Arabidopsis thaliana: one gene and its partner. The protein of the gene in region 2 interacts with the protein of the main gene of each other region in a biochemical or structural test. Each region holds a gene or a part of one and is shown on either strand. Other genes may lie near its edges.

Evidence for each region. Proteins that work in one complex are often made in the same cells at the same time.
Region 1: the proteins of CDKC;1 (region 2) and CYCT1;3 form a complex in vitro, tested with the Arabidopsis thaliana proteins (one study listed by BioGRID).

The regions. Positions count from the first base shown.
Region 1 is NC_003070.9:9,609,432-9,614,879, reverse strand, and holds CYCT1;3 (cyclin T 1;3), read right to left. Parts: upstream 3,828-5,448; 5' UTR 3,670-3,827; intron 3,401-3,669; exon of another isoform or gene 3,332-3,400; 5' UTR 3,234-3,331; coding exon 3,004-3,233; exon of another isoform or gene 2,291-3,003; coding exon 2,209-2,290; intron 1,955-2,208; coding exon 1,820-1,954; intron 1,739-1,819; coding exon 1,566-1,738; intron 1,489-1,565; coding exon 1,343-1,488; intron 1,260-1,342; coding exon of another isoform or gene 1,180-1,259; exon of another isoform or gene 1,101-1,179; coding exon 913-1,100; 3' UTR 544-912; downstream 1-543. Other genes in the region: AT1G27640 (uncharacterized protein), read left to right, coding at 1-417; AT1G27620 (HXXXD-type acyl-transferase family protein), read right to left, coding at 4,448-5,356.
Region 2 is NC_003076.8:3,220,962-3,226,673, reverse strand, and holds CDKC;1 (cyclin-dependent kinase C;1), read left to right. Parts: upstream 1-1,885; 5' UTR 1,886-1,999; coding exon 2,000-2,112; intron 2,113-2,291; coding exon 2,292-2,373; intron 2,374-2,500; coding exon 2,501-2,591; intron 2,592-2,692; coding exon 2,693-2,722; intron 2,723-2,814; coding exon 2,815-2,924; intron 2,925-3,013; coding exon 3,014-3,086; intron 3,087-3,159; coding exon 3,160-3,280; intron 3,281-3,396; coding exon 3,397-3,514; intron 3,515-3,820; coding exon 3,821-3,960; intron 3,961-4,041; coding exon 4,042-4,099; intron 4,100-4,251; coding exon 4,252-4,322; intron 4,323-4,448; coding exon 4,449-4,959; 3' UTR 4,960-5,181; downstream 5,182-5,712. Other genes in the region: RABH1e (RAB GTPase homolog H1E), read right to left, coding at 5,373-5,516, 5,615-5,705.

The DNA of each region.
Region 1 (5,448 bases), on a different chromosome or scaffold from region 2:
TACAAAAGAAAAGCAGAGATAGAGAAACACACAAAGGAGCCAAATAAACACAGAGACGAAGCAGTGCTCCAAAATAGAGCTGGGAGGCACAGAGACCGAGCCGTAATAGATCACAAAAGCGAAGAAAGAGAGAGAGAAAGCGTACAGAATGTTACAGAGATGAGTGGGATTGAGAGATCTGAGGGTGAGTGGTCGCCGCCGGTGGAAGGAATTACCGACGAGGAGCTGCCGTCTCACTCGCCGATGGATGATCTAGGGTTTGCTTTGTTCGCGAGTTGGGGGAGAAAGACAGAGAGACAGAGAATGGGATCTCCTGACATAAGGATTTATATTTTTAATCCGATAAAAAAGATAATAATAATGGAAACTAGAATCCGGTTTGGTCTAGAATGGAAACCAAGCGGTTTTGGTTCTTGACCGGTTTATACGATCGGTATAAGCTAGGTGTAGTTAATTGAACCGGTTAATTACTTATCCGATCGGTATAAGCTTGATCATATGATGATTGTGTTCGTCTCAAGTCTCAACTCAACACAGACCTAATAGCACTTCATCAAAAACCAAATTACTTAACAATGAGAGAATTAGTCAAAATCAAAACAACTTTAAACTTTTTAAAGAAACCAAAAACATAGATTCCAGATATACAAACGATATAAAGTCAGCTAGTATTATAACATGTGAATGGGACACTTCTATACATAATCTCTCTCTATCGAGAACAGAGACCAAGAATCTCGAGAGAATCCACTTTGGTCATACATGAGACGCTTAACTTAGACAGAAGCACCTCACTCGGATCTCTATATAATGCTACACTGCCTCTCTCATGAGTCTCTACGGAAATCTTTTATTGCTAAACCAACTCAAGACTCTAAGAGAGATTACATCTTCATGCTGCTCAACAATGGCTCACCAGATGCCAGCCTGTCTATAGGACTGCAAAGGGTAGCTGTGAAACGGATAAGCTCTAGCCATATGGACCGGCTTTACGGCTGCAGGTATTGCCCAACTTAACTCTCTTCTTGGAGGTGGAGGTGGAGGTGGCATATTCCTCCTTCTGTCCACTTCTATCAGTGTGCACATCTCCTGGATTACCTCTGTCACCATAATGAAAACATCCAATTATTTTTAATCAACCGCTAAAATCAATAGCAGCACATCTCTTCGTTCAGGCCACTACCTAATTCCAAACTCAATATGTGCACAGGGTAAGAACCTAACATGAGCTGGAGCTACAGTACCACATATTCCTAGCGCTAACATTATAGAAACACTACATCTCACTTGATCAAATGACTGCAATAATACCAGAGGAAAAAATAGAGTTTGAACAGCAAACCTTTTAATAGCTTAGTTGTAACTCCAAACTCCAACCACCAATCTCTCCTGCTGCCTACTTTCGCATTCTGAAACGTAGCAGCTAGGTGCACAGTGGCTGTTGCAATAACATGGGGTTTGTACTGCAAGCATAGTGTGGTTCGAATCCTACACACAATGCATAATAAGATTCAAACTCAATGTAGGGGAAAAATCGGGCAGATATTATTAACAAGGGTCTTTACCAGTCATGCACAAAATTCCATGCAGCTGTTGCAAGGTCAGGCCAAGCGTTCAGTCTATTCAAAGCCGCAGCCAGAGGTTTGTAGGGAAGTTCAATGTCTAAATGGAAAGCACTTGTGCTCAGCAGAAGACTTTCCCCGGACAAAATAATTTCTTTAAATTCATGATAACACTCCTACAGGCAGAGCAACATGTAATAAATTAGCAAAATGCACAGTGCGAATTTACCAATACATAGATGTATGTATACACTTACAGTTTGATGGATTCTAATTGAGGCAGAAGGATCCCACTCATAAATTATTTCATAAGACGCTACAACGACACTGGACAGTTGACATGGCTCATCTTCAGCTTTGCAAGCGAGGAACAGACTGGAAGTCGCTATTGTCTGCAAAATCACCGAGTGAGAAACCGAAGTGGAAATATTTAGCAGCAATCATATACACTTCTAATTAACCAGGAAGACTGAATAACTATTAAATAACCACTTTTGACTTGTTTTCATCAACATTATATTGCTCATAACCCAAATTTTGTAAGAAGAATCAATATATCTGTTGCAGACTATTCAATCATTAATATTTACATGTCAGCTCCAATGAACGCAATTGATGAACCATATGAATACTAAAGCATTCTTACCTGCCAGTCATTTTTTGCATGAGATTGGCGCATGTAAAACCTGTGGCACATCACCATTGCACATGATATTGTAACCTGGGACCTGAAGCAATGAGATTGTCAAAAACCTTTAACATGAACAAGGTCAATGTTATGATATCTCGGGCAGCAACTAATAGCTAGACATCACTTTCACCGAAACCAGCATTTATAAACTTTTCCGACACACGTGAGTAATGCAGAAGACAAAAATACACCAGTACCTATGATTAGATGATTCAAAAAAGTAGGCCGGAGAGAGACGTGCACTTGCTCAGAAAACTAAGAACATCAGTTGGTAAAGGTAGGAACACAGCTGAGGGTTTTGATAACCCAGCAGAGAATTACAAATACAAAGACATATAGATCAGAAGGTCATGTCTAAACAGGTGAACAGCTCCCAAGCAAATTCACAACAGATGCAAATCCTCCCATTGCCGATGAGAAGTGACAAGTGAGTCAATATATGATGCATGGACACCAAATTCTGACTATTATTACATAATTCTTCCATTCACGAGATATAAATGTAGACAAAATCGAGAATCTATAGTTGGAGAACCTCCAGACCACCTCCCACAGTGGCCCTACGACAAAATTCAACAGTTAGGCTATCCATTGTCATGCATTAGGCACCCTCTTTAGCTAAAAAAACGTACCAAGAAATATCAGAAGACAAGGAGACGTCATAAGTAGATTTTCTAGCAAACAACCAAAGAACAAACACTATTTCTTCCTAGATGACAAAACAACAAAGTAATACTATGGTGAGCTTACACATGAAGCTTCATGCCAAGTCTTTGCAGGAAGGTGCAATACGAAGACCGTAAAAACGACTCCTTCACAAGATCAATCCCATCTTTTCTGGATGGAGAGAAACGCTCAATCTCTTCCCTGCTGAAATACCACTTGGAGGTTTCGCATTGAGGGGATTCAAACAACGATACGTTTCTCGCCTCCGCTTCAAAATGTTGTCTAGACCGCTTTCTCGGATGCTCCTCTCCCATTGTAAATCTTCTTCCGCCAAACAATTAACCAAAAAAGTTTCAATCTTTGAACTAACAAGACAAGTCCCAATTTAGCTGCAGATTTTGCTGACAAATATCTGCAAATAGCAAACACAGATTCATTGTTAAATAGCTTTGGGACATAATACGACACAAATCTGATCTCAGCTTCACATATATATTTTTTGACCCATTATCGCAACATCAAGAAATTTCCAACAGATTCTATCAAATCACGAAATATTAAAATCGAGGAGGCGATTAAATTAAATTCACGAAATCTGCAGAAAACAGATCGAATAATTACGAAACGTGAAGGAGGTAAAGGATTAGAGGAGCCGATTGATTCAAGAGATGAGATCAGAGGACAACGAAATCGACTCTAACAAAGGAAGGATTAACGAAATTGGATAGCAAAATTTGAGATTTCACTAACCCAAATTTTGCTTGGTGAGGGAAAAGCTCTTTGAAACTTGAAAATTTTCTCTGCTGCTTTATGTTTGTCTGAAACTTGGGGAAAAGATCTATTGCGGTGTTGCGACCTAAAAAAGATAAATATCTAACTCTATTTATAAAATGGATATGGGCTTTGACTTTATGATTGTAAGCAATTCATCATATTCGATAATGGATATGGGCTTCGAATTAATATATAGTGTCGTTTTTTATGTGGTTGAGATTGAAATGATCAAACTACATAGAAATAGTCTTAACATTATTTGAACTTTTGCAGAAAATAACACTTTAACCAATATATTAGCATTTAGCAATTTGAATCATTGTTAAATTTTTTATTTTCATAAAGCTATAATCTGATAGAGATTACCAAAATTGGATATATATTAATATTTATTTGAATTTTGGCTTCGATTTAAGAACCGTACGTTAAGCTAAAGTTGATGAACTAAACTAAAACATGTATTCCTTTGAATTCATCGATCAGTCAATATCATTATCATACTAGCATGGAGAAAGACTGTTTTTAAACTCATCATATTATCCATTTTGTGTTTAATAAAAACCAATCAAAAATCGACAAGTGAGCTACTCTAGTACTCTCTTTAATTAGTCTTTATTGGGGTTCATATGTCTATTTTCTGTTTTCAAACTTATATATAAGAAAATATTTCGTACATAAAACATATTAAAACCAATCAAAAATCGACAAGTGAAGTACTCTTTTATTATAGACCACTGAAATGTATATAGAAACTTTAGCATGCACGAGAATTCTCATCTTCGTTATCTTTTCCGTCTAAAAACTTAACCATGCAATACTCTAGTCTCTTCACAACTTCCTCCGGCAGGGACATTTGAACTCTGATGGCATCATTATCGCTCGCCACGGGTAAAAATAAACAGTAGATATCACTCGTCAAAGGACCCATATACATTGGCTTTCCTCCTCCCAAGTCCAACTCCTCTAATCCCAATTTCGCCCATTGTGAAATGACCAAACTGCACGAGACGTCCGTTTTCACCGTTTTATCCTCCAGTAAATCTATCGTTGATCTTACATATTCGTCGGTAATTCTTGATTTTGCCTCTTGTATCGATTTTACAGCGTGGTAAATATTACCATTGACTAGGTCTTGTACCTTGCTCTCGGCGCAAGCTAGTACGAATCCATTACCGTAATACCCTTGGGGAAGTTCTGGAGTTAGTCGTTTTCTCATATTGACTGAGAATAAGAGTTTGACCAGCATGGTCATTGGTAAATCTAGAGATTGAGCCCACGAGCGCCAAGTGTTAGCCGCTAGTGCCTCGAACGTGGTGCATTTTAGCGAAGGAGCGCAGGTTTTCTTTAAGCGTAGGAGATGAGATTGGTTGAAGGTTAAGGTGGCAGGAGCCAATGGTTGGGACTGTAAATACTTGGAAATGTCGAAGGTGGAGCTTTTGTCTACGGTGGTGGTTCGGGTGAAACCGGGATGTGAGTGTGTGACACGTGGAGGGTTTCGCGGATCTAATACGTGACGGGAGTGGAATGGTCGGGTCGGAAGATGAGCTTGGCTAGTGGTCGCATGGGCCCATGCATGTAGGAACTGCGATGTGCCAATGCCGTCGCAGAGGCAATGATTGATCGCGGTGCAGAGGATCATACCCCCACAACGGAGATACGTCACCTGAGGCATTAATATTCGTAAGATATCAAAATGTCGATTTATTATTACATTCGACTAGCTTTCAAGCGTTAATAATCAAACTTGCTGATACT
Region 2 (5,712 bases):
CTGGAAAACTCTCTTGTACATGAAGCAAACATGTGAATCAACACATTAACAAGCAGCACTCAACAACAACAACAACAACAAGACATCAGAATTATTACAACTTAGAATCCTGCAGTTTTGCTAGCTACCCCAAGAGGAGATGAGATACCTGAATTGAACTCTGGTTGCTGACCTTCGATAGCAAACTCCTACAGCTTGAAACTGAAACATGGTAACAGAGGCTTCTCATTGCCAATGTAGACTTAAATATGTGTTGCTTTGCATCATTTATGGACCAGAAAGTGGGATAGTTATACGTGTTGGACATAGAAGTCACAAATGGCTGACCACTCCCTTGAATTAAGAAACACAAGAATAAAATATCACTGAAATCACCAGAATAGTAGGAGATGGTAGAACAACTCCACTACGTAGTCATCATCCCACAGAAGAAAGTAGCTTGGAAGAGGAATGTTTTGGTTAGCTTGAAAACTACACCATCAGACAGAAAAATCAGTAAGTAGGATCATATCTCAACCCCATTGTGGAATATGAACCAAATATGCAAGTCAATTTCTTCTACAGACAGTGGATTGGATGAGAACATTGTTTATATATAGTCTTAACATTATTTTATCATTAGTTCATTTTGAAACTTCCATCAGTCAGATTCCCTATATATATAGTAAGTTCATAAAACTAAGAAGAAAAAGCCTATATATCTTTCATATCATTGTGGACCAACAAACTTAAACAAAACCAAAACATCAACGGATCAAGTTCAAGAAACATATATAGCACATACTTAAGATACTTATCTATCTTTCCCATCGCCCAAGTCGAACTCTAATATCGGTTACAAGAAAAAAAACCTAGCATGATTCATAAGAGATAAAAGAAATATCATCCATACGAAACAAAAGAAGGGAAGATTTATGTATAGGGTTTGATTCAAGTGAATGACCATAGAGAAACATTTTCCTAGAAATCACAAAACCCAAAATTAGACCTACCCACACCAAAATCAAACTTCCGAAATAACCGTCCTTCACCGATGTTAGCATGAAACCTAAATTGAATCGGGTGAGTTAGGAGTTAGGACCAATAGCCGATGTTAGGGTTTGACAATGAGTAGGGAGATAGTGAATCGTGTCTTCCTGTAGGTAAAGAAACCGAGATCTAGGGTTTGGTCGAGATTCGAATGTTCTCGTTCTTCCTTTGAACCAGAATGGTCGTGTACACGGTTAAATGGCGTGATAAGCACGCTAACACTTCAGGAGTAATCTGTTCCTATCGCACCTCTTGTCACAGACGGTGAACCCACTGGAAAACCTAAGTGATTTTCTTAATTTTCCCGCTATTTTTGGGATTTCTCAAATTCGCCTCCAATTTTATTTACGAAAATCAAATTTTATCTCGAGCAGTAAATCTAGGGCGTTCGAGTGTCCACTAGTTTTTCTCTTTCTTTATAATATATCTAAGCTTGAAAAATAAATATTAATCAAAATGTATGAATGTTTACTTTATAGAACAATTAATGTATGATTTTTGTAATTGCAATTTGTTTTTTTTTTTTGTGACTTGTGAGTGTGCTTGGCATTGGCATGTTAAACAATTTTGTTGTCAAGTCTTTTATGATGAGAAAGATACATAAGAAACATAATCCCATAATTCCAATTTTTAAAAAATGGAGTTTGTATTTTAATAAATACTTTTGAAAAGATTATTTTTGTTGTGGTATTTTTGAAAACCGGTCAATAAAAATGATATTTGATATTTCTTTCATTATTTTATTTAAATTTAACGGATGATCGCTAATTTACACCAACCGCTTGTTCAGGGTTAGACCGGTTCAAACCGGACAATTCATAGATTTAAACCGAAACGCTAATTACATAAATAAGCTGGGAAACCTACGGAGAGAGAGTTGTCTGAGAGAAAAGGAAAGCGATCGAGAAAGACGTAATTTGATCATCGGAGTAAAAGATATTGTTCGACAGTGGGACTCCCGGGAACGAAGATGGCGATGGCATCATTCGGGCAGCTAAATCTCGAGGAACCTCCTCCAATCTGGGGATCTCGCAGCGTTGATTGCTTTGAGAAGCTCGAACAAATTGGTGAAGGCACTTACGGGTTATTCACTTTCTCTTTAATTCAATTTCACTCTTTGGTTATTCAAAAGGCTTAATTTTTACTTGGGATTGATAAATTATTGGCCTTTGAAGCGATTTTTGATTGTATGATTAGGCTTTTACAATGCCTATGTTGTGTTGCTTTTAGGAGATTTGATTGTTGTTGTTTTGCTGTTGCAGTCAAGTTTACATGGCTAAAGAAATCAAAACTGGTGAAATTGTGGCTCTCAAAAAGATACGTATGGACAATGAAAGAGAAGGGGTATGTGAATTCTTCACTTTATATGGACTATACGTTTTTTTTATGATGCTCACTATGTTTAGAACAGATGCAAGTTTTTGTTTACGATAGGAATTGTAACCCATTGTTTACAACTGGTATGATGCAGTTTCCTATAACAGCTATTAGAGAGATAAAGATTCTGAAGAAGCTTCATCATGAAAATGTCATTCAGCTGAAAGAGATTGTGACTTCACCAGGTTTGTTTAAGGAACACATATGTTGCACTGAATTAAGTTAGCTATTTCTATATAAAGAGGTCTAAACATTTTGTGTTTTGAATGGTTCTGTCTCTTAAAAGGTCGGGACAGGGATGACCAAGGAAAGCCAGGTTTGTGAAAAAAAGTGATTTCAACTACTGTCTTAGTTTCTGCTTATTGAGGATTTCTTCTTAACTAAAGGTTGTGGCTTTTTCACCTATAGATAATAACAAATACAAGGGTGGCATCTACATGGTTTTTGAGTACATGGATCATGATTTGACTGGACTAGCAGATCGTCCTGGACTGAGATTTACTGTTCCTCAAATTAAGGTATTGCACGGCTAAATAGCTCGTTACTTCTATTAGCCTTTTTCATACTTATTGTTCAACTTTATTCTAACACTCAATCCATTTAAAAGTGTTACATGAAGCAATTGCTTACCGGGCTTCACTATTGTCATGTGAATCAAGTGCTTCACCGTGATATAAAAGGTGATTTTCCTTAATACAATGTTGATGTTTGGTTATCACCTTTACTTGCATATTAACCTAGATTTTGATCCAGGCTCAAATCTCCTTATCGACAATGAGGGAAATTTAAAGCTGGCTGATTTTGGGCTTGCACGGTCGTATTCTCATGATCATACTGGAAATCTTACAAATCGTGTCATCACATTGTGGTATAGGTAAGCCTAAAAATCGTCATTCAAAGTTTACATGATATACATAGATAGTCTTAATATTATGGTCTTTGCTAATTCATTGTTATTACTACTTTGCTGATTTACATATATTGCGGCAGGCCCCCTGAATTACTACTTGGGGCTACAAAATATGGCCCAGCAATTGACATGTGGTCGGTTGGTTGCATATTTGCCGAACTTTTGCATGCAAAACCAATCTTACCTGGGAAAAATGAGGTCAGCGTTTCATCTTTGCTGAAAGCGCAGTTCTTTTGAAAATTTCAGATGTTAAGACAGTGTGCTTTCGTGCCACTAATAATATAAGAATCTACATGGTCTCCTGGTTGCATTGTGATATCATTGGAGTAGAAAACCTAAGGGATTAACTAGAATTAGATTTATCGGCACTTTTATTTTGGGACCGTGGGAGGCTGGTTAGGTTCTTTGCATTATATCATGTATACAAAATGGTATAGACGCAGTTATGTATACATGTTATTGATAATCTCAAAAAAATATGTGCCATCTCCTACATTGTTTCAGCAAGAACAATTGAACAAGATATTTGAGCTTTGTGGATCACCTGATGAAAAACTTTGGCCTGGGGTTTCCAAGATGCCTTGGTTCAACAATTTCAAGCCTGCACGGCCCTTGAAGAGGCGTGTAAGAGAGTTCTTCAGACAGTAAGTAAAGTAAACCATTATATATCTCCGCTTTACTTTGATCAGAAGATTTCATTTGGCTTTACTTTCTCTTCTGTACAGCTTTGATCGGCATGCTCTTGAATTACTGGAGAAAATGTTGGTGCTTGATCCAGCACAGGTATCAGAGACCTTTATTCTTATTCCCAGCGAATTATCTTTCTTAAAAACTGTCTTTTACTGTTTTTTGGATGAAACATACCTCTTCAAGTCAGGACATTGTTAACACCATTTAGATATTTAATGTCTCCTTTTTTTCTTTCCCCTGTGTAGAGAATATCGGCAAAGGATGCTCTTGATGCCGAGTACTTTTGGACTGATCCGTTGCCATGTGACCCAAAGAGGTATTTGTATATTCTGATTTTCTCTGACAAAGTTCATGAAACTCATCTGGTGCATCATCATCTAGCTTATTAGACAGGCGATCGTGGGGAATTTTTTCTGACTAAATTAAGGTTTCATTTCAACAGTCTGCCCACATATGAATCATCACATGAGTTCCAGACAAAGAAAAAGCGGCAACAGCAGCGCCAAAACGAGGAAGCAGCAAAAAGACAGAAACTGCAGCATCCACCGCTGCAGCACTCTCGCTTACCCCCATTACAACATGGTGGACAGTCTCATGCTGCTCCACATTGGCCTGCAGGTCCAAACCATCCCACTAACAACGCACCACCACAAGTACCTGCTGGACCCAGCCACAACTTCTATGGGAAGCCGCGTGGTCCACCTGGTCCAAACCGCTACCCTCCTAGCGGAAACCAGAGCGGGGGTTATAATCAAAGCCGAGGAGGTTACAGCAGTGGATCATATCCTCCACAAGGACGTGGAGCTCCTTATGTGGCTGGTCCTAGAGGGCCTAGTGGTGGCCCGTACGGGGTTGGACCTCCTAACTACACACAAGGTGGTCAGTATGGTGGCTCTGGTAGCTCGGGAAGAGGGCAGAATCAGAGAAACCAGCAATACGGATGGCAACAGTAAAGAGCTCTAATGATTTGTTGATCTGATATCTTACTCTTACATTTAATGTGATACTAGTAATAAACTAATAATAGATTAATATGAGAAACTGAATCTCTTTCTTTTCCCAATTCTTTCCAAGTCTTATTTCGTTATCCAAACATTTTCTAGTAATGTCAAGATGGAGACTGACAGTGTGTGATGTAAAAGAAATGAGCAATGAGAACAGAGCAAAACATGCCATTCTTCTTCATAAGCTTTCAGACGTCTTTATTACACAACTCTATATTGAAAACAAAACCTCTCCAAAGAAAAACTAGAGTCTCCAAGTGTAATCACCTTTCCTCATACCAGGATTTATTTGTTCCATAAAATTATGAATCTTTCGTTTAAAAATCTTCCTATTCTGCTGCTGTGTATATATTTAAAACTGATTAACAAGCACAACCACCTCGTTGTTGCTCCCCTTGAGCCGAATTGCTCGAAGTCTTTAGATTCACATCAACCATATCCTCTTGTTTCGTTGAAGAAAGTGTTTCCATTCCTGGTAACGCTGCTGCAATCTTGCGAAAAAGTGGCTGCAAGTTTCCAAAACACCAGAACAAGAAAGCCAAGCGTTATTCCAAGAAATCTCAAGATCTTAAACGAGTAATGAGAGCATAGTTGCATCTCTCACCTTGATGTTAAATCCTGCTTTTGCACTGGTCTCAATGAATATTACTCCATAATCACGAGCTTTGTTATCACCTTCCTCAATCGACACTTGCCTGTCAA